Linked DNA regions of Solanum lycopersicum. The main gene of each other region encodes a partner of the protein of the gene in region 2 in a complex. Links are inferred from orthologs where the notes say so. Each region holds a gene or a part of one and is shown on either strand. Other genes may lie near its edges. The genes, in order: 30S ribosomal protein S13, small ribosomal subunit protein uS10c, small ribosomal subunit protein bS6c alpha, small ribosomal subunit protein cS23-like, small ribosomal subunit protein bTHXc and small ribosomal subunit protein cS23.

The links.
Region 1: small ribosomal subunit protein uS10c (region 2) and 30S ribosomal protein S13 share a complex: the UniProt entries of both Arabidopsis thaliana proteins name them as parts of the 30S ribosomal subunit. The link is inferred for Solanum lycopersicum from reciprocal best matches to the Arabidopsis thaliana genes AT3G13120 and EMB3137.
Region 3: small ribosomal subunit protein uS10c (region 2) and small ribosomal subunit protein bS6c alpha share a complex: the UniProt entries of both Arabidopsis thaliana proteins name them as parts of the 30S ribosomal subunit. The link is inferred for Solanum lycopersicum from reciprocal best matches to the Arabidopsis thaliana genes AT3G13120 and AT1G64510.
Region 4: small ribosomal subunit protein uS10c (region 2) and small ribosomal subunit protein cS23-like share a complex: the UniProt entries of both Arabidopsis thaliana proteins name them as parts of the 30S ribosomal subunit. The link is inferred for Solanum lycopersicum from reciprocal best matches to the Arabidopsis thaliana genes AT3G13120 and PSRP3/2.
Region 5: small ribosomal subunit protein uS10c (region 2) and small ribosomal subunit protein bTHXc share a complex: the UniProt entries of both Arabidopsis thaliana proteins name them as parts of the 30S ribosomal subunit. The link is inferred for Solanum lycopersicum from reciprocal best matches to the Arabidopsis thaliana genes AT3G13120 and PSRP4.
Region 6: small ribosomal subunit protein uS10c (region 2) and small ribosomal subunit protein cS23 share a complex: the UniProt entries of both Arabidopsis thaliana proteins name them as parts of the 30S ribosomal subunit. The link is inferred for Solanum lycopersicum from reciprocal best matches to the Arabidopsis thaliana genes AT3G13120 and PSRP3/1.

The regions. Positions count from the first base shown.
Region 1 is NC_090804.1:939,423-943,070, forward strand, and holds 30S ribosomal protein S13, read left to right. Parts: upstream 1-1,451; 5' UTR 1,452-1,530; coding exon 1,531-1,644; intron 1,645-2,031; coding exon 2,032-2,256; intron 2,257-2,870; coding exon 2,871-3,038; 3' UTR 3,039-3,148; downstream 3,149-3,648. UniProt on the Arabidopsis thaliana protein: Located at the top of the head of the 30S subunit, it contacts several helices of the 16S rRNA.
Region 2 is NC_090809.1:1,050,946-1,055,024, forward strand, and holds the start of small ribosomal subunit protein uS10c, read left to right. Parts: upstream 1-1,279; 5' UTR 1,280-1,447; coding exon 1,448-1,654; intron 1,655-1,919; coding exon 1,920-1,967; intron 1,968-4,079.
Region 3 is NC_090807.1:67,612,550-67,616,512, reverse strand, and holds the start of small ribosomal subunit protein bS6c alpha, read left to right. Parts: upstream 1-1,163; 5' UTR 1,164-1,278; coding exon 1,279-1,629; intron 1,630-3,542; coding exon 3,543-3,782; 3' UTR 3,783-3,963. UniProt on the Arabidopsis thaliana protein: Binds together with bS18 to 16S ribosomal RNA.
Region 4 is NC_090802.1:7,166,588-7,170,524, reverse strand, and holds small ribosomal subunit protein cS23-like, read right to left. Parts: upstream 2,801-3,937; 5' UTR 2,694-2,800; coding exon 2,445-2,693; intron 853-2,444; coding exon 571-852; 3' UTR 365-570; downstream 1-364. UniProt on the Arabidopsis thaliana protein: Component of the chloroplast ribosome (chloro-ribosome), a dedicated translation machinery responsible for the synthesis of chloroplast genome-encoded proteins, including proteins of the transcription and translation machinery and components of the photosynthetic apparatus.
Region 5 is NC_090804.1:66,172,055-66,175,569, reverse strand, and holds small ribosomal subunit protein bTHXc, read right to left. Parts: upstream 2,213-3,515; 5' UTR 1,990-2,212; coding exon 1,812-1,989; intron 1,710-1,811; coding exon 1,645-1,709; intron 755-1,644; coding exon 632-754; 3' UTR 501-631; downstream 1-500. Other genes in the region: uncharacterized protein, read right to left, coding at 3,439-3,515.
Region 6 is NC_090804.1:4,043,275-4,046,712, forward strand, and holds small ribosomal subunit protein cS23, read right to left. Parts: upstream 2,236-3,438; 5' UTR 2,149-2,235; coding exon 1,927-2,148; intron 900-1,926; coding exon 618-899; 3' UTR 501-617; downstream 1-500. Other genes in the region: homologous-pairing protein 2 homolog, read right to left, coding at 8-35. UniProt on the Arabidopsis thaliana protein: Component of the chloroplast ribosome (chloro-ribosome), a dedicated translation machinery responsible for the synthesis of chloroplast genome-encoded proteins, including proteins of the transcription and translation machinery and components of the photosynthetic apparatus.

The DNA.
Region 1 (3,648 bases), on a different chromosome or scaffold from region 2:
TTATTCAAGAGTGACGTTCCTAACAAAATTTTCTTGATACCTAGGGCTTGAACTTGCAATTAATTAGAGCCCCGACAAATTCTGATCGCGGCGCATTGTGGACTCATTCAAGAGTGGCACTCCCAGCAAAACTTTCCTCATACCTAAGATTTTAAACGTGAAACATCTGATTAAGGGTGACACAATTTCATCATTACGCCACAATTTATATTTAAAAATAAATTAAATTTAATGATTTAATAAAGTAGAAATACATGTTAATTAATCATAAATTAAAATTATTGTGTATGTTTCAATACATATACATATTATGCATTTATTTATTTGCGATAAACATCTAATATGGATAAATTTTAATTTTTTCAATGGGTGGCAATTAAGTTGCTATTTATAATGCCGCATAAACAGTTATTAGTTATTGCTAGCAAATTCGTAGGATTTTGCAATTGGAAGGTGTTTTATTTTTAGGAATTTATAAAGTAAATTACTCACAACTCATAAGAATCGTTTGAAGTACCCATTAAGATGTAATTTATAGGATTAGTAAGTCATGAAATTTATTAGTTATAATCTTATAATATTAAAATTACTAAATTAATGGAGTATTAAAATTTATAAAATTCTTTACTTTAAAAATAGGTTCTCTCTAATTTTCTCTAAAATATTCTTCTTGTTCTTGCTTTATTATTTTATAACCACTTCTAATCTTATGTTGTTTATAAGAATTTTTTATTGTTGCCCATGAGAGATCTTTATTTTTATGCCTACAAAATTTTAAAAGATCAATTTTCTTTTTATTCAATTGGTAAGTGATCATGTAAATTTATTTTCAACTCGCATTTCTATCGCCCCAAATTTAGGTTAGGCCTTAGATAAAAAGAGCGATATCAGAAATGAAATGTAGAGATTTCTTTGTAAAGCTAATATTTTCTTCATTTCAATTAGATGTAATACGAAGGCTACAATTACATGTTACAACCAAAACATAATATGAAATTTCAGATGTAAAATAGAAGTAATGTGACGTGTAAAATGTGTAGAGTACTGATATAATGTCTAGTTATGTTAAATTATTAATAATATTTATAAAGTGCATAGTAATAAATTACTATCGTCTTAATGAGTTATCGATTCATCCAATAACCAAATACTAAAAATTGATACCTAATCAAAAACCCTTTATAGATCCGTTAAAAATCCATTAACTCAATAATTCAATAACCCAATAACATTTTTTTAATAGGTTTATTGATCGATTCGATTTTTCCACATCCTTATTGGGAGGTGACAGTATGATAGACATCGGTGAATTTAGTCGAGTGCATGAAAACTAGCCCGAATACCATATTAATAAAATAAAATTTAAAAAAAAAAAAAAAAGAACAACCGGGGCTCCATATTAGCAAACCAGGTCGAAAAGAAGAACTCCATTCCCTATCCAATTTTCCCCAATAGGATAAGAAAAATAGACCAGCAAAAGGCTCTATCTTCTTCCTTCTTCAATTTCTTCATCAATCAAGATTTTCAACAATGGCGCAAACACTAGCAACTCCTGTACTTCCTTCTCTTTCCCTTATCTGCAACACATCTTCCATCTCCAAGCACAGTTCCCTCTCTTTTTCTACTCCCACATCTTTTCCAAAGGTACACTTCACTCCCTTCTCTTGAAATTTGCAGTAATCAAACATGGAGTTTGCTGAAGTTTACATTTTTTGACCTTTTTCGTGTAGGAATTGGAATGGGGTTTGTCTTTTTTTTTCTCGCAATTTTCTCAGTAACCAAACATGGGTTTTGCTAAAGATTACTTTTTTTTTTACCTGAGTAGGAATTGGAATGAGTTTTTGGATTTTTCGAAATTTTCTCAGTAACCCAACATGAGTTTTTTTTGCTAAAGTTTCCGTTTTTTTGAGGTGGGATTGAATTGAGGTTTGCTTATTTTTCATATTTTTGGACTTTTTTGAGTTGGAATTAAATTGGGTTTTGCTAAATTTTCCATGATTTTGAGTTTGAACTGAAATGAGTTTTGTGTAGACTGCAGGTTTGGTTATAAAGTGTGTGCGTGTGGGAGGAGTGGAAGTTCCAAACAACAAAAGAGTTGAGTTCTCTTTGCAATACATTCATGGAATTGGCCGCACCACTGCACGCCAGATTCTGGTAGACCTTCAAATGGAGAACAAAGTGATGAAAGACATGTCGGAAGAGGAACTTATCACTCTTCGTGAAGAAGTCTCTAAGTACATGATTGAAGGAGACCTTGTGAGTTTCATTGCTCTAATTTGTACTCATTTGTTTTCGTTCCAATGTGCATATCCTTATTGAAACTTATATGCTTAGGTAATTTGATTTCGATATCTAGTTCATGTAACTTTGCTGTGGTTGCTGTTTATTTTAGCTCTATAGTTTAACTTAATGCCATTTGGGGTTCTAAGAAATTTAATTCATTTTGTCTCAAGATAGGAATTGAACCAAAAAAACAATATCTTAAACCAATCTTTGGTCCAACTTTTACATGGAAAGAACCATATTTGAGCTGAAACTGCATTCTACATATCTTGAGATTAAAACCAGAAGATCGAAAAATCTTCTTTACTTTCTTAAACTTTGTGTCAAGTCAAATCCGGACAAACAAATCGAAACAAGGGGAGTTATTGTTAGGTGGGTATGTAGGATCATGGCTTCTATATGCATCACAGCCTTATCCCAAATTAAACAGTTCTTATGGAAATGTATTTCAGAAGAAATCGATAGCTTGTTTAGCAATTGGCAATGTTGATTGAGATTCTTGTGTATAAGGTTGTTTGTTTGATTGATGCTTCGGCTTCCTATTTGAAACGGGAAAATTGATTACATACTTGTGGTGTTGGCATCAGAGGAGATTCAATGCTCTTGCCATTAGGAGGTTGAAGGAGATTCAGTGCTATAGAGGAGTAAGGCACATCCAAGGATTGCCTTGCAGAGGACAACGAACAAAGAACAATTGCCGTACTTTGAAGGGCAAGAAAGTAGCAATTGCAGGGAAGAAGAAGGCACCTCGTTAAATCAAGATCGATTTTTCATTTCTTTTGGTAACTAACTTGTAAAAGTTACACTCTATATTCCTATGGCAAACTGTGCATTTGTTTGTTATAAACAGTTTTTTCCATTGAAATCATTTTTCTACATTTCAAGATAAGAGCTTTTCAAGAAGAATGTTGATGCTTAGGCATAATCTCTTCCTTAAATCTTGTTAAATGTGTTTCATGTGGAGTAATTGCGAATTTACGTTATTCTGATTGGATGATTTGGTTGACAGGAGAAAGGTTTGTTAAGTTACGTTAGGTGTCATAATAATTGTTGATGTAACGACCTATGAAGTGCAGTCCCTATCTATGAGCCTTGGTTTAAGCTTCAAGTTCAGTAATGTGTTTGGGCCAAGTATTTGCATTAATGTGATACCAAAGTTTTACAATTTGAGTCATAGCATTGTTAATGTAATGACTCGTTAGGTCATTTTGAGAATTAACTAAAAGCATAGAGTTTGTGGCACCTTTTTGTCACATGCATGAGCATGAAAGTTAAGTCCCACCCCTTTAGTACTCAAGAAGGTTCACTTTTCTCAGGTTTCTTGAAGACCATGACTTCTGTTTTTCAATAGTGATGATGTTCAGA
Region 2 (4,079 bases):
ATTTAGAATAGTTGATAGATAGACGTAATACTACAATCCCATTTTTGTGTAGCCAAAATATTTGTGCCAGTTGAGAATAGTTGATCCTCTAACAACATGCCTGCATTCTTTTTCTCTTTGGTAATAATTAAGAATGTCAATGTTTGTGGGAGCAGCTGGTTGATTCAGTATGTATTATTCTCTGAATTTCAAGACATTAAGATTGCATCATATGATTCATAAGATTTACTTATATGGAATATTGACCACTATGGTTTTCTTTTCTACCGGTAAGAGTGCAATACATGGTGTGTGGGTTACGTGCATGTGAGGTTCCGAAAGCCTGCTTGATATTTAAGTGGAGAAGAGTATGAGTAGATGGGTAGAATACCTGGTGTGTGGGTTACGTGCACGTGAGGGTTCCAAGTTATTGCGGATGGAAGCCTACTTGATATTTAAGTGGAGAAGAGTATGAGTATGAGTAGATGGGTAGAATACATGGTGTGTGGGTTACGTGCATGTGAGGGTTTCAAGTTATTGCGGATGCAGCCTACTTGATATTTAAGTGGAGAAGAGTACGAGTAAATGGGTAGAATACATGGTGTGTGGGTTACGTGCATGTGAGGGTTCTAAGTTTTTGCGGATGAAAGCCTACTTGATATTTAAGTGGAGAAGAGTATGAGTAGATGGGTTGATTCATTATTTATCGAGTTTTTAATTGTCGTCATTTGAAGTATGAGGTTGTCCTTTCTCCTACTCAGAGAGACAATTCACTAGCGTTTTGGTGATAAAGAGTTTGAAATTTTAACTTCAAATATCTGCTTAGCCGTGAAATTTGATTAGATTTATTTTATCTTCAAATATTTCTCACGTTCCTAAAATTGATTAAGACTAGTTTTTAGGACATACTCACAAAACTTCAAATTTTCAATTTGATGAATAGCTATTTATGTCAATTTTTCCAAAATAACACAAGAATATTTTTCTTTCGGAGATAGCGATACTTTGAAGTTTGATTATCAAAAACATAATACGTAAATAAACACTTAAATTTATAAGTAAGCAGTTCAATTTTTGAGTATGTACATCTAGACACTTAATAATTGAATACTCCAACTCAAGTCACATAAATATTTATTTATGTATTATGTCAATTATCAAACATAACAAAAAAAAATTAGAAATCAAATATAAATATCTATTTATGTATTATATCAATTATCAAACGTAACAAAAAAAAAATTAGAAAATTAATTCAAATGTTGTCCAAATACTAGGTAAATATTTGGGCCTAAGAAGCAATAAAAAAAGGGAAAATACATAATAAGGATAAGCCTTGTACAGAAAATTGTATAGTTATTTCTCTTCTTCGGATAAGCTTTAAAACACAGAAAAATTGAAGAAGCTCCTAAGGAGGAGAGCTCCAATCTCCATTAGAGACCAAATTCGAACTTTAGTGAATACCCAAATGGCGATTTCATCGTCTTCACTCTCAGCAGCTCTTTTTCCAATGTGTAATTCATCTTCCATTTCTGCACAACCCAAGTTTTCTCTTCTGTCTTTGCATTCAAATTCTGTTAAGTTACAAGTTTTCAACCAATCTCGAGTGTCTACAACTAAGGTTTTTGCTTCTCCTGAAGTTTTGGATGCCCAGAATGTTGAAGCTGATGTTGAGGTTTGTTAATTATTTGGGCTATTTTCAGTAGACTATACTGTGTGGTTAACATTAAAAAAAATGCTTTTTTTTTGCTGAATTATTGTTGGGTATTCGTCTTTCTACTGAATTGTTGCTGGGTATTCCTCATTTTACTGTATTGTTGCTGGGTATTCGTCTTTTTACTGAATTGTTGCTGGGTATTCGTCTTTTACTGAATTGTTGCTGGTTGTTCCTCATTTTGCTGAATCGATGTTGAGTATTTGTCATTTTGCTTTATTTATAGGATATTCTAGCTGCTTCAACGCTGAGTATTGGTGGTGACTCTGACAAGGTAAACTTTTTCTCTTCCAGTCCTTTAATTTTTTAATTACTAACTGTGGTGTCTGGACCAACTTGCCCGCACTTGGTACCTCTGGGAAGCACTGGTATCAGGTAACTCTGTCTACCGACAAAGGCGAATGTAGCCTCATAGAGCCAACTACTATGATGTTGAGTATAAATATAAAGTTTGTAGAGGTTCACTGAGACTACAACAATTAGTAGGTCTTAATCCATAACTTTTAAAATATTGTAGATTCGATGCTAAAACCCATAGAGTTCAAATTCTGAATCCACCTATATATACCAAGGTTTGAATAGATGGAAAAAATCAACTAGTGCATTTGCCTATCCTAAATTAGTTGAGTTTGCGTATAAGGAATCTTGTGTACACATTCACCATTATTGAGGTGGGGTGGAGATGGTTCAGTGAAAGTAGACTATTTTAGTGAATCTATCTCAATCTGTAACCTTTATTCGCTTGGGACACCGCTGTGCTTTTTGTGAAGTTCATATAGGCAGTGTTTTTAGGGGGTGATGTTTGATGACTCGTGATTCCTTCTGAGATTTCTGCATTGCTTTATGTTATGTGCATTTTGTTTCTATCTAAGAGAATGTAGTCAAGATTTTGCCAATGTATTATGACTAAGATGTTTCCATTTAAACCGTTTATCTCTCATGTAGAAGTTTACACACTAGACAAGTCTTAGGAATCAACCATTTACTGTTTATACAGTATTGGTGTTTGTAACTGATCACTCAAGCTTATTTTTGTTTGTGTTGGTGTGAACACATCTTTTTTTTTGAATTTTATGCTGCAGCCTTAATTGAGATGGATACTTCTTTTTTGTTGGTAACAGTTATGAAATAGGATAGAGCTGTATGTTTGTCCATAGTCTTAATGAAATATTTGTTGTTTGTTTTCTTCTTTGGCTAGTGACTTTAAAATGTATTAGAATGATAACATTCTTTTGCTTGGTGCTGACAAAAGCTAGCCTCATGGCTGGAGGAGAACATGGGGACATGAAAAAAAGAATAGTTGTGACATGCAGATTATCACATCAGAAAACTACTCTATCTATACCACTTAGTGAAGCAACCCTAAAATTCACTTGCAGTGAATTGGAATTTTCTTATAGGGAAATTTGCAATGATGATATAATCTGCTCAACAGCCAGGCAACTTTTGATAAATGAGCGTACAAAGTTCTTCACTGTTAGATTCCTCAAATTGGTGATTGTGGAACCAATTGGTCTTCCTCAGTTACTGAAAGTCTTAAGTAACCTGGAGCTTTAGTAGTGAATTGATTATCTCTTAGCCGTCTCCTCTAAGTAATTGTGTGCGCTGAATAATTTTCTTCTAAGAATTTTTATTGATGCATCAAGAAGCAAAAGTACAGAAATTTGTCTAATGGATAAAGCATGCACGAGCTACATCTAATGCTTTTCGGACCTTTCACTACTGTGTTGGGATGCTTCATTATTATAGTAACAAGGTCATTAATATTACTCCTAGTGTACAATCCTCTTCAAGGATAAATTTGAGTTGTATTTCTCTCTGGCTACTAAGTAACATTGATCGGAAAATATTATTGGTTGAAATGTTCACTTCTATCAAGACTACTTTCATAAAGGTTTGATTAAAGCGATTTTTTGGTTCACTTATTTGCTTGATAGTAATTGTGTTCAGCTATGAATTCTAAAAGAAAATCTTTGAATCATTTCTAGAAGTCCATGTAAGCTGAAAAAATATTAGAATTATAGTGAAACTGGAAGGTGGTGGGTTGCACAGGAGTATGCTGTTTTTAATGAAACTGGAAAGGTCATTGCAGATTCCGCCTTTAACTCTCACTTAGTTATGAATTTTACGAACAGGCTTCCCTCAGTTTATAAGTTTTATCTGTGGGAGTCCCTGCAAAAATATTATTTCAAAGTTAGGATGGACTTGGAAAAGTTATTGTTCGATATGCAAGAGGTGTAAGCACCATGAGGTGTGAAGTGATCTCGGGCTTCTCCTTCCAGCTCTTGGATACTTATTCAGTACGAGTTAAATCTATGAACTTCGCTGAGAAGCGTCCAGTGGCTGTTCTAATTCAGCATTAAGCTCATCGTGGCTGTGTAGTATC
Region 3 (3,963 bases), on a different chromosome or scaffold from region 2:
TATATCGACTGCCAGTTTCTAAGCTTGTTAAAGATGTGCCAGCCTAGAACTTGTATACCCCCTTCACAGAATAGCTAAGTGGACGGAAATGCTAAATATTTGATCTTCAGTGTGACAAGTTCGAATCATAATGGCCTCTTGGCTACTCTTGCTCAGTTTTTTCGCTCTTTTACTTCTACCTATTAACCATGTGTAGGAGAAAGAACCCGTTTTTTGTAGATACTGATGTAAGACCTATTACTAGTATAGATATAGATAGTAGTTCTGAATACTGAATGCTTCTAGGAGAGTGATGAGGGGTCAAAAGAGACTGGATTTTGATCTTTCTAGCAACAAAAAACAGCATACCCAGTGTGATCCCATCAGGTTTGGGGAGGGTGATGTGTATGCATGCCTTGTGAAGGATACACCTTGCTGCTCATGTAAATTCTTCTAACCCAGTAAACTATTACCCTGTTTTGGGTGTTGGGCTCATGTCATAACTCATAAGCCAATATCTTTGTTTTGTGGATATATACTTAATATATACACCTGCTTCCACTTCTATTGCAAACTTCCAATTATCCTTTTTATCTTCTATTTTCATAAATGGAAGATCCAATTGATATATTCAATTAGTCATTCGTCAAGTACATTGCCAACAACATAATCATGTACAAGATCACAATTCTCGATTCAACAAACATAACTCGAACAATGCAATTTGATTTAACATATAGAAAGTGCTATGTTTTTGTTATGCTAAATACATTACAATAGATTCTTTGTTCATTAGGAGATCTTCACCAAATTATTTATTCAAAACTTTGCTTACTTCTACCTCCTTATACTATAGTTAAGAGGGAACACAAACTGCCAATAAATAAATAAATATGGCCTCTTATAGTCACTTTAACTTGGTTAATTTTGATTTTGATCCTTATAATATCGAACTAAACACATTTAATCTTGAATTGATTAATTCTTTTAAAGAGGATTAAAGTATTTTTAGACGAATATTACCGTAAAACATGAAATACCAATACAATTTCATATTATATGAAAATTAAGTGATAGAACAATTAACCATCACTTTCAATTAATTAAAAATAAATCAAATTTAATCCATGACTTAAATTTTGCAAGAAAAAAATAAAAAGAAAGGAGTAAAGTAGCATTTACAAGTCTTGAGGGTATCTAAACAAAAAAAAAGCAATAAATTTCACTTGTACAATTTTACCAACTCAGAACTGAAAATTGTGAATTTCCTCTTTCTTATCCACTTTATCTCCCTCAAGAATGGCGTCTTCTTCTTCTTCTCCATCAGTACTTCCATCTCTTACCTCCACTCTCTCTTCTTCTAAACCTTCAATACCCTTCAACTTCAAAGGTTTCACCAAAAGGGTCAACAATTCTGGGCAAATCTTGAAAGCCCAAACTCTAGAATTTTCGGGCTCGTTTTTCGAGGGTGGATTTGGAGGAGGAAATGCTGATGAACCACCGACTACACCATGGTCGGGTATTTCTGCAGTTGAAGATAAAGAGGAACCGCAGTGTCCACCTGGGTTACGCCCTTATGAAACAATGGTGGTATTGAGACCTGATATGTCTGAAGATGAAAGACTTGCTCTTACCCAGAAATACGAAGAGGTAACAATGATTGTTTTTGTTTTTGGAAACTGATATAACTTGCAAGGTGCTAAGCTCAATTTGGGTGGATTCTAAGTTTTCAATTGCTGATTTGACTGTTTGAGCATTAGAGTTGAAGTTGAGAGTTCTAAAGATTGAATTTTTGAAACTAATATACTGTTTCTTTCCATTTTGTTTGGCGCATTTTGCTTATTTAGGGTCAATTTGATTGACTTTTGGAGATAAATTGAACTAGACTAATTCCTTTTGTATGAGAAAGTATTATAATTCTCTTAGTATCCCGAGTGTTCTCCGGAAACAGCCTCTTTACCTCCAATATATAGGTGTATGGTCTGCGTATACTCTACCCACAGACCCCTCTTGTGATGTTTCACTGTTTTTTTGTTGTTGTTATTGTAATTTTCTTAGTATCTATGCTGAAGGCAAAGAATAAATTTTTAATATGTTTGTCATAGTTCATGAATGAGAAGTGAAGGTTGCCACACATTAGGACTGAAGGAGTAAGTATTTTTATCAGAAGTTGAGCTGCATATAGTATCATTTGATACTCTTCAGCTGATTTCATTGTGAACTGGGAAATGAAGATAATTATACTCATTTGAAACAGGGAGATCATTTAGGAAACAGAACAAGTGATTGATATTTGGTTTGACATGATGAGAATTTCTTCCATTCCCCTCTCTTGGCTAAAAAAACTGTTTTTTTTCTTTCTTTGTCTGCTAAGAGGCGGAAACCTGAAAGCAAAAGCAATATCGACCTTGCAATTTATTTAAGCACAAGATTGTCCAAGAATATTCTTCCTTTTTGTTTTTTTGTCTACTCACTAGAAGGCCATTCTTTGGAAAAATCAGATATTTGAACCTAACAACAGTCAACAGTGTTTGGGTGCATAATTCAACATTTTGTTATAATTTAAGCTGACATGGACATGATCTAAGTAAGAAGAAAGTTAGTCTCAGCTTCTGCTACAATTTTCATTCTTCTTGTTCCCATGTAAGAGCTTTCATTTTTAATCTTGTTCTTTTTCTCTATCTGCTTTTCGAGTCCAAAAGCCTTGGTCTGATGACTATTATCACCTTATCATTCTTCTTTGTGAACATGGATGATCATTGTATTTTTGTTTGCCCATCTCATTTTTGATGTTATAGTCGACGTCTATAAGAAAAATAGGCTTGCAAAGCTGCGGAGGACAATAATAGAAGTACTTAAAGTTGATGAAACTCTATTTTCTACATGACCCGTTTACTACTGTATTTCCGTTTCTTACTGATTGTTGTTTTGTTTCACTTGAGCCGAGGGTCTATTTGGAATAGCTCTATACCTTTACTAGGTAGGGGCAAGGCTGCGTACCCACCAACATCCCCATATCCCGCATGTGGGATTGCACTGAGTATGAAAGGACTTAAAGTTGATTAAACTATCTGTCATCTTTCACCTACAAATGATTGGGGAAACTTTCACTTAGTTAAATCCCTGATAAGCTTGAAGAGAGAAAAAAGTTAAGCATCAGCACACGTGTCTTTGTTCTATGTTTGTTCCAACATTTACTGCGTTTCAGCTTTTGCCTAACAGGTCAATCAAATAGACACACTTGTAAGTGCCAATGTTTCCCATGTTTTGTGTTTCTCTTTGTCAGATACTCCGTCTAACCAACCAAAGAAACTCTCTTCAACATGGTATCGGATCAGGCTCTCATTGCCACACATTATCAAAAAAGGATTTACACAAGTCCACACGTGAAGGGAAATATTAAAATTATACTTGACCATCTCATCTAAAAGTACATAATAGACTTATAGTAACTCTGTTATGGATTGAACAGTTCTAACTAATATTGTCTCCGATCAATTTCAGTTGTACATGCTATTTGACGATGCAAGTTATAATCTTTTGTTTTTCTTTCTCTTGGGCAGTTGCTGGTTGCTGGTGGTGGTATGTATGTGGAAGTCTTCAACCGAGGGGTTATTCCACTTGCATACAGCATTAGGAGGAAAAACAAAGCTGGAGAGACAAATACGTACTTGGACGGTATCTACCTCCTGTTCACTTATTTTACTAAACCTGAATCCATTGTAGCTCTTGAGGCAACATTGGTAGCTGATGATGATGTTATCCGGTCGTCCACTTTCAAGATTAGGAAAAGAAAATACTAGTTTGGTTGGTTAGTTTAATTTGTGTATCTGTTCAGTTGTAAAAGACGATAACAGAGAGCAGGCAAGTTTTCCTCATCGCGCCTTTCAGATGTTTAAGTCATGACAGTCCTTTTCACAGCAAAACAGTATCAATTTGTAACATTCTTTTATATTACTGAAAGTTGCCATTACATTCTGCTCA
Region 4 (3,937 bases), on a different chromosome or scaffold from region 2:
TCGTTGTTCAACCCCAAGCTATATGGTAAGAAATATAAATCACTAGCCTAATTCAACCCCAAAACTTAACTCATTAAAGGGATAGTCCAAGACCATATAAGGATACCAAATGACCCTATCCCAACCAATGAGGGACACTTTAACAATATATGATGGGGCCAACATCGAAAACGATGAATTGCGATGGGTCTGGATTAGATACCTTTGATGAGAAATGAATCTTGGACCTAGCAAATGGAGAAGGATTAGCCAAGACTATATAAAGAGACCAAATGAGCGTACTATCCCCACGACGTGCGATACTCAACATAGATAAATTCCTACCATCAGTACAATTTAATTTTGTTTCTGTTAGATGTTAATATTCATGAAGAACCAAGGCTAACATTTTAAGATATATAGTTTACAATATGATCCAAAAACTAAAGGAAACAAGAGGAAAATCTAAACAAACAAATTGAATAAGTTTTGACTGACCTTTCAAGTGAAAAAAGTTACAACATAACAGGCATGATTGCTAAAGATAAATGATGAACAGTGGCAGCATGACAAATCTTGTTCTATGAAGGCTTAGGCTAAATCACCACCACTCTGTTGCCACAAATTGATGATATCCGTGGCCTGATTAAGAAGAATAATTGCCTGTTTCTGGGATATCCATGGTTTACTCTCGAGCATGACTTTAAGTTCCTCCCAAGCATCTTTTCTAGGCCAAAAATAGTAGGGGCTCAACGGAATCGTGCCATGACCAGGAATTACCTGGTCTAGTGAAATTCCGATGTTCTTCTCCATCCAAATAAACTTCAACACTAGCCTAGGTTTCTCCAGTGGCTTGACCAACACACCGAGCTTCTGTACATCCAGCAGATTGTAAGAGCCAAACACCATAATGAAAATGGTGCAAATATTATGAAATTCTTAAAAAACTAAATAAAATGAGAATCAAACACCAAAATAAAGATATTGCAGACATAACTATGTAAATCAAAGCAGTTCGTCTCTAACCATTGAACTTATAAATGTCTTGAGACATTCACGCAGCATAGTATTAAAGTACACAGATGCATTGGTACGAAGAACCAGCCATCAATTTGGTCCAAGAAAGAAACAGAGCCGAGGAGACGTGTTGCATACATAACAAAATAAATAAAAACAATTTTTTTTAACAGGTTAAACAACTAAATGAGACATTCACCCAACATCGTATTAAAACGACAGATGCACTGGTTTGAACCGTCATCCATCAACTTGGTTCAAGAAAAAAGAATCGGAAAAGAAAACTAATCAAACCCGTGGAGATCTGTTGCAGCCTTTCAGACATAATAAAAATAAAGATAAAAGACCAATTTTGCTTTTTAAATTTTTGAAATAGGACAATTATGTCCTCCATTTCGTTTTATGAAACAAAAATGCCATCGCTGTTAGCCAAGTGGCTCAAAATTTCCCTACTCACTAACGGTTGTCCCACTCAGATGGAAAAGGGACAAAGTTATCCTCCAGTCCTTAAACAAAGTCAATATCACCCACAAAATTTTGGAACCAATGAGGCATCTGGTCATGTTTAACATTTTATATATCATCCCTAACGAAAACAAATTTATTTGCTTGGTCATTAATGAATATTGATTAGGTATTAAGAACTTGTTCTTGATAGCAAATCTTCACAAATTAATGCTATCTTTTACGAGAAAGACCTTTTTCCTGTCAACTGAAAAAAGATACTAATAACGTTCCCATAGTATAAAGTTAACTCGAATATCTACTTTACGCTAGTACGGAGAGATTGAATGTTATGATATAACTGAATACAAACTTACACTTTGATCAACTTAAAAGATGATAGCATAGTAAGAATGTGATTTATCAAGCCAGCTAATGGCAAAGGTATTTTTGTGCCAAAAACCGAAACGGACAACAAAGTAATCTTATTTCAAATAGTTCAAGAGAAAAATTGGCCCTTTTCCTATAAATAAATCTGCCCCATTATTCCTAAGCTTACAACTTTTCTTTTTTAAAATTAGTATTCCAATTTCCAGGCGATCCCCAAATCGGAAGAAACTACATATTATTCTTCATAGTGCCTCTGGTGGATTATTACATGGTCTTCCATTGTAATCTTTTTCATTCTAGTTCTATTGACAATTAAGACACACCCTTGGATGCAAAATCTTTTAACATTAAGAGGATGGTTCACTTCCCACAATTCAACAAAAAACTAAAGGATTATAACGGGCAGCGCGATGCACTAAGCTCCCTCTGGACCATGTACTGTCCACAGCCTGGTGCACTAAGCTCGCCCCCGAAAACAAGGGCCAGTTGTGCAGGTGTTGGTTGGTTAACAAACAGAAACCAAACAATGGATAGGAAATAATCGCAGCATTACTGATACTTATACACACTCTACCAAACAACACCTAAGAGGGAAGTCAGAGAGTGAAAATTACCTCTTTTTGAAGAGAATCTGAGGAAATAGAATCACGGGTCGATGTTTCTTCAGCAAAACTCAAGGCAGCCGCAGCTGAAGTAGCAAAACCCCCAAGATTTCTTCTGGGTACGATTGCTGAGACATTAGAACGTCGAGAAAAAGACTGCCCCTTTGTAAAGAAGACAAATTTGGGTGAAAAAAATTGGTTTTGAGAAGAAAACGCAGGAACCCAATTCACAGTAAGCTGTGTAGCCATTGATAACATCATTTTCAACAGCTAAGGGGAAACTCAGAGCTTCTCTGTCATTGTGTTGTGTTCTTCATCAAAGTCTAGATAAGAAAAAAAGATCCGACACAATATAACCCGACCCGGATTTTTTGGGGTTGGGTAAATCTATTTAAATGATAGCCTAATATCACGGATTTCGACTTTAAAAGTGACGGATCATGATACTAAACTTTATAAACTATCGAATATCCACCAAAAATTAACTTAGCAAACTTTAGTGTTGGGACTATACTTTAGGTTATTGTTTAATTATTTGGACTAATTTCAGGCTAATTTAGGCCGATATAATTGCAACAATAGCCTAAAATTTCTGAATTATATGTTATTTGTGGATTGGAGTACAATTTTTGGATAATTTTAGATAGGATATATTTCTAACAATGAGATTATATTGTAACAACAATGCTTACTCAAATGATTATTCTATGTCTGGACATTTTATTCAAAGAAAAAAATAAACTTGGTTCTCTATCCTTAAGATGATTGTGATACAATGGATGGTAAAAGGTTTAACGAAACCAGAAATTATAGTGATTCAGCGGCTAAGAAGGGACCTAGAATATTTACGACTCCACTTTTAAATACCCTTCACTCCCTTTAAAATGAAGTCTTTCTTTTTTGATAAAGTGATCAAAACTCGTAAAATAAATCAATATATCATAATATTATAATGTATATCAATATCATCTATGAATCGCAATAACATAAAATATGTTAGAATAATTAACTCGAATCGAATAAAGAGGAAAAAAAAGAAAAGAGGAGGCCAAATACAAAATGGTCAAAAAGTGTAGTTTTGGAGTAAACTAACCCAAAAGAAAACCGTGAAAGCCAGCGCGACTCTAACAAGCAGCCACACCAAACAGTCCTTTAAAACGGGTCAACCCGTGAAACACGTAAATCTTCAATAACCCTTTCTTTTTTGGCTTTAAATTCACTTCAATTTTTTTCATTTTTCCTTCTCATTCAATATCCTTCTAATTGGAGTTTCTTCTTCTTCGTTAGAGACATCAATCACCAGGTAAGTTGTCCAATTCAGTTTTCATGTTATTGATTGGTTCAGATTTAGAGATATACCATTAGATTCTGTTGCTGGTCTCTCTACTTCATAGAGACAATACACTTGTAGATAAAATGTTCAATAATCCTTTGAAGTCTTCCACTTTGTTTGAATAATTGTTATGTATTGTCACATAATGTATCGTATTCAATGGCAGAGCCAC
Region 5 (3,515 bases), on a different chromosome or scaffold from region 2:
TGGTGACCCAAACAAAAGAAGTTTTTTTGTGACTGGATTTGCTCACTCACATCTTGACTAATTCTTCGAGGTAAAGGTTACCTCCAACCAGCACAGATATGGAGTAATTCTATCCACGAAGGTCTAAATAAGAACCACCTAGGGGTCATTTGGTAGGATGTATTAGCTATGACATTTTTTGATCCTTTCTTTGTTCGAGGCCAAAGTGCCCTTGATAATATATCAAACCAAATAGTGGGTAGGAAATAGCTCCAACATAACTAATCCCAGCATTAGTAATACACTATATATTACTATTCTTATACACTCTACAAAAAGACCTCCTAATGTGTTTGTCTCCGCTAGTATATGAACCTAAAACCTCGTGGTTTTCAACCCATAAGGAATGTGGGGTTCTCTAAGCTTTTCACTTTTCTCAATAGCTAAAGTAGTGACTATTACCACTTGTCTACTGAAGGTTGCTAGAACCAAAATGCATAATTTAACAGGACACAAGAGCATTTAAACGAAGACCCTTCAAGCAAACTAGAAATCTCAGTCCAAATGATTAACTTAATCGATATTTCAATGAAATAAACAAAGTAGTAGAAGATTAGAGCTACATAAAAATGAAATTGCTCCTCCGAGAAAACTATGGGTCATGTATTTCAATTTTAACGACTTGGCCATCATCAAATGGATCTCTCTTTGGTGCTGCTGGTGGTGCTGCAACCCTAGGTGGTCCTCTTCCCTTCTTCTTGTTCCTTGGCCTTGCCTAAACCAATTCATACCATCGGAATCAGTTCAAAATAACAACAAAAAATGTCGAAACAACTGTTGTTTTTTCACTATTTCTGTCAAATCTAACGAACATAAATTGTTAAACGTATGATGATAACACTCTAAACTTCAAAGTACTAAAAATTGGTTAGAGCATATTTAACAGACTATTTTGAATCTATCATCAACATTGGTGGTTAACGAAGAGGGTCGAGAATCATGAGGTTTCAGGTTCAAATTCTATCAGAGACAAAATAACACTAGGTAATTTATCCCATCTATTGATAAAATTAGTCGAGATGCATCTAGGTTGCAATCAAAAATAAACTTCAAAACTTTTTAGGGGTCAATTCGTCTAAATGTATGAACAATTGAATCTCAGTATAAAATTCTATAATATTAAAAGCATTAAACTCCTGCATTAATTATGCAAAACCTTATGCACCAATAATCTTATTCCAAGTGAATCTATAAATCATTTTATATGGAATTAACATTCATTTAATCAAATATGAGTTAAAAAATTATTCATATTAAGTAATTTGTGTTGATATCTTATTTATCAATTTCAACAAAACACATACTTCTCTTTTCTAAAATTTAAAGGCATAAATACATTAAATATCTCATGGAATTATTTATTCATCTTCGATACACTCGTTATTTTAAGCCAATACCTTTAACTCAAATATGCAATAAATTTAATCTCAAATTCTATTTCGAGATTATTATTCTTATTCCACGTATCAAACTAGAATGTTAGTGTAGGATTCTCCTAATATAGAGGAGGTAAGTGTTTGTTTATAAAATATACAGGGGTGTATCTGAAACTAAATCATATTAAGGAGGTCTTATCCTGCAATAAACCAAAATATACAAACTCACATTGCCAAAGGAGTGATTGAACCGCTTGCCTTTCGCCGTCTTCTTATCACCTCTACCGCAGTAAACTGAAAATGAAATCAAATCAAAATTTCAATTTCTCGAACTGAAACTTCAATCATCACAAAATTTTCACAAACAATAAATTCGAAAAGGTATGTGATTCGTACCCAATGGGAGATTTGAATCAGTGAGAGACGAAAACGAAATTGATGGTGAAGGAGATGCCGCCGTAATTGAAACGCTGCCGGCGACGGAGTGAGAACGAGAGAATGATAAATTAGGAGAAAGAGAAGCCATGGATTGAACAGTACTCATAGGAACTGAACCAACTAACAACGACGCCATTGCAGCAGCTCAACTGATAGAATTGAGATTTTATTTGTGGTGGTTCTATAGCTTCTTATTCTGTTTCTAGATAATGTGCCCTTTGTCTTTTTTTTATTCAAATACCCCTGAATTAAGGTAAAATTCACTTATTTTTCCTTGTTTTTTTTTTTTAAAAAAAAAAACGTTAAGAGTTACTTGGATGGTAAATACCATTCATTTTAAACTTTAAAATTGTGAATTCAAGTTATCAGAAGATCAATTATTTTTTATGTAAAAGTATATCAAGCAATAAACTGAGACCTGAAAAGGATTGTTTGGAACGAGAAATAAGGAATAATAGTGTTATCTCAAACTCTATCTGTTCCTATTTAGTTGTCCATTTTAGAAATGACAAACATATTAATATAGCAATAATTAGAATAGTGAAGTTACAATTTTGCCCTTATTAATTATGATTTCGAAAAAGATGAATTAAAACTTAAAAATTTTCAGGAAGCTTAAATAAGAATATAATAAGAAAAAAAATTATCTTTTTTTATGTGTGAAAATAGACAAATAAATTGCAAAATGAGACGGAGGGAGTATAAATATAGTTAGATTTCATCACATACATAAAGAAATTTTAACATATATAATAATTAAGAGAAGTAATGAGATAATAGTACACCTCTATGACAGACTACTTGTCTACATTAACAAAGATATTTATTCAAAATTACTTGTCAAATTAAAAAATTAATTCTATTTTTTTCCATTTTGCACCTTAAATCGACTCTTTTTGATTAAAAATATAAATATTGTAAAGTTCCTCTTTTGTTATTAACAGATAAAGACACAAAAAATAGAATTTATGAAAAATAATTATAACAGTAAATTAGTAAAAAAATAAATATTTTTAATATTTCTTAAAAGACAAGAAAAAAGAAAAAAATGTACGTTGATATACAATGTAGGAAGTAACACAATGATTAATCATACAAGACATTCCCAATTGATTATAATTTTTTTTTTACCAAACTCACTCAAAAATACAAAAATATATTAATAACAAGTCAGTCAAAAGATGAAATACCCTACTCTACAAAAATTTGAGAACTCAATTCACTTATTATCGACCACAAAATTGACCTCGAACTATGACAGTACAGATTCATATAGTCGACCTCAACTTGTTTGGTACTGAACCGTAGATGTTGTTGTTGGTGGTGGTGAACAGCTCCCATGCAAATCACTCTACTCAATCTAGACACAGAAAATCAAGAACAAATAATATAGCCATTTCCCTACAGAAAAAAAACACAATAGATCGATCATTCACGTTAGTATTTATTCAAATATGTGATTTAAATCGACGTCTTGAGGAACTTCTTCTCCACTCTGTAGTTAAAATTACCAGAAGCATAAGGGAATCTCACCATTTTTCTCCTTAGTTTGATGCATTTCTTGAACAATTTTTCTCTGTTACGACTAAACTTCTTCACCCTTCTTGTTATTGATAGAAGAAGTACTACTTGGAAGGAAACAAGTTTCCTCGCCACCCGTGT
Region 6 (3,438 bases), on a different chromosome or scaffold from region 2:
AAGTTACCTTCAGTGTTATCTGCTTTAGGAGCCATGGATTGGAGAATTCACAGAGCGCGGGAAAAAAAACTTCTGTCAAAATTTCTGTACTTCGAATTCACAGGAAACATTGGGCACGAAGGCCTTTATACGATGTCGTAGTTGAACATCGCGGGAACTTACCCTTAGTATAGCCACTAATTACGAAAAGAGGATTCTTCCATCGCAAGTTTCAAGTGAGAGTTGCCATAGAGCCCATGGGCCTTGTTAGGATGAACCAACCCAACTAGAGAGACTTTACGGGCTTTTAGTTCATAATAAAGTCCAAATATAACGGGCGGTGGAAGATGAACAATCGCTAAAAAATATATTGAATTAAAAGAAAACAAAATCGGCCATGGTTTCAATTTTGTGCGTATAAAACTTGTTGATACTATCTTCATTTCACCTATCTTATTAAATTATTCACAAATTTTGATTATCTTATCGTCCAGTCAGAACACATTAAACAATTTAAAAAATGAAACAAAAATGATTCCAATTGTATTCTCCATCAACTATAGTACAGTTAAAAATAAGATAAAACAAAAACAGAAAGTTGAAACAATTTGTCTACAAATAAATACCAAAAACAACAATTAGGTCAAATTTCCACCACTCTGCTGCCACAAATTGATAATATCAGTAGCTTGATTAAGCAAAATAATCATTTGCTTTTGTGATATCCATGGCTTACTCTCTAGTGTTGTTTTCAACTCTTCCCATGCATCTTTTCTAGGCCAAAAAAAATATGGACTTAATGGTACACTTCCATGGTCTGGTAAAACTTGATCAAGGCCAAGTCCAATATTTTTCTCCATCCATATGAATTTTAGCACTAGCCTTGGCTTCTCAATTACCTTTTTCTTCATATCAACTTTCTGAAAAAAATATATCCAAGAATTCACTATAAGATATCAAAACATAATATCCTATCCTTTTTTGGGCTTATTATTTATATAGTCGTACGTATCTGGAATGAATTATGTGCATTCAACTGAACTTCTTATTTTCATCTTTAATAATGTAGACGTTTCAATACGAGTTTGAGTATTTGACACGGGTGGAAGTCAGAGATTGGATTTTGTCATAGGCGTATCTAGCTAGGATGAGTTAAATGTGTTCAAGTGTTCAACTGAATCTGTTATTTTTGGGTCAATATGTACATACATTATGTTGTTTTGGTACGGGTGCAAGTATATGACACAAATGTTTGATCTAGAGGTTGAATTCATCATCACTAAAATTTTAGGGCTCGAGGGTACGAATTGATATATCTAGTTTTTGTCGAAACATAACTTATATTTATAGGTAATGCTATAATTTAACTCCATTTTTGTTCTGTTTTTAGCTAAATGATCAATATATTTCCCCAATTATGCCTTTTTTTTATTAATTAAAACATTCATAAATTTGCTAGTTATTACTCATTTTCATTAAGAAGTTGTTGGACTACCATTTCATATTTAGAAAAGTCGAACAACACAGTACGTGTTAAATAATCATAGTAAAAGTGAATTCAAAGACTTAAAAATTCTAGATTTGTCGTATATATCAAATGATTCTAAAATATTACTATATTATCCTTTGAATATAAATTTGATGCTTTGGAAAATGTATTATATATTGAATAGTAGTATTCAATATCAAGGGTTTTCATGTTTTTCAAATTGGACAAGTATTGTTAGACGACTATTTTTAATATAATGACCAAGTAAAGATGGATTGAGGGAGTATTTACATTCTTAAATTACGTATCAAGTCAAAATCAGACAAAGATTACTCAATTTTACTAGTGAGAAGTAACACTACCATTCATGAAATTAATTGAGTAGCGCAAAAACTAATCTAGACACTAAGTTATCGAAAAAAGTTACCTAATTGAAAATTAAAGAGCTGATTTTTTACCTCAATTTCTTGAACAACAGACTCTGAAGTCTCAACTTCAACTGATTCTGCTTCTGCAACTGCTGAAGCAAAAATCTTATGAATTCTTCTTGTTGATAAACCTTTGTTGTTAAAAGATAATGAAGAACATGATTTGAAGGATTTATAACCTGGATTTTGTGAAGGTAAAGAAGGGATACTCAAATTGCCTTTCAAGCTAGATTGAACAGACATTGATAACATTTTTTGTGTAGATAAAAAAAATATTTGTCTAGTGATGAAAAAAAGTGAAGTGGGAAAATTGTGGCCTTAAAAAGAGTGTGTATAGAGAATTTGAGATAATGATAGAATGGATAAGGTAATAGAAGAAAAAAAATGAAAGTTGTTTAAATTGGGCTAAGAGGCCTATGGGTGAGGACTTTGGTCATGTTATGGGATTTGGGCCCAAAAGAAATATGATCATTAGTTATCATAGCTTTACTAATTTTGTATATTTAGCAACGTTGAGTTGATTCGGGATGTCAAACGAGCGGATTGAACAATTTTTTGAGAGTTAAAGTTGTGTTGATAAACGAGTGGTATCGATTTGTTTGAAGATTATAAATTTGAGATAAGATGGGTTAGTATTTTGTCGTAGTCTAATATGTTCAACTTTTATCAAGTTTACAATTCTTAGTAGACAAAACTTATGAGTATCAGATTTTTATAGATTAATTTTGTCATCCCTAATCAAATTGATCAATATTATCTGATTATTCAAAAAAAAGTAGAATGTATCTCATGGGTGAAGATTGTTCGTGCTTCTCAAATGTTACGTACTTTTTTAGGTCATTAGTCAGCAACTCTCTCGACAATGACTTCACATTACTTTTTTAACACGTCTATCATTATTATTTTTAGAAAATCATTTTTTGAGATAGATGTTGCGCCTTGAACATGTGGATGAGTGTGATATATGTATGCCTCTTTGACTATTCGTGAAATTAAATCTCTAATATTAACAAAAGAGGGGCATATTAAGAATGTCCTAGAGCTACATTCTTTCTTATTGGTATTAATAAAAAGCCATCTTTTTAATAAGATCTGAAAAAAAATTGAAAATGAAGTTCATATATCATAAATATTTTTCTTTCAATGTCATTTTCTACATAATTAGTAAAAGAGACGACTTTTGATATATATGTCCATGCGTACTACTCATTCAAGTTTATGAAGAAAAAACATTACTTGAGCTGAATTTTATGATATTGACAAAATCATATAATAAAAAAATAATAATATTAATATTAGTCATATTAATTATGAAGTGATCAAAATGAGTTGCAAATTTGAAGAAACCACTAATTCAATTCATACTTATAATTTGCCCTTTACATACACAAAAAAGTATATTTTTATGATCAATGTGACGCTTGGTTTTATTTTTCCTAAGAGCTAATATTGGGCTAGAGGTGTCGTATCCCGGAAGAACGGAGATTGATGATGATATCGTACATTGCATAATTGAAATGGACTGGATAAAATGAAGGTTCG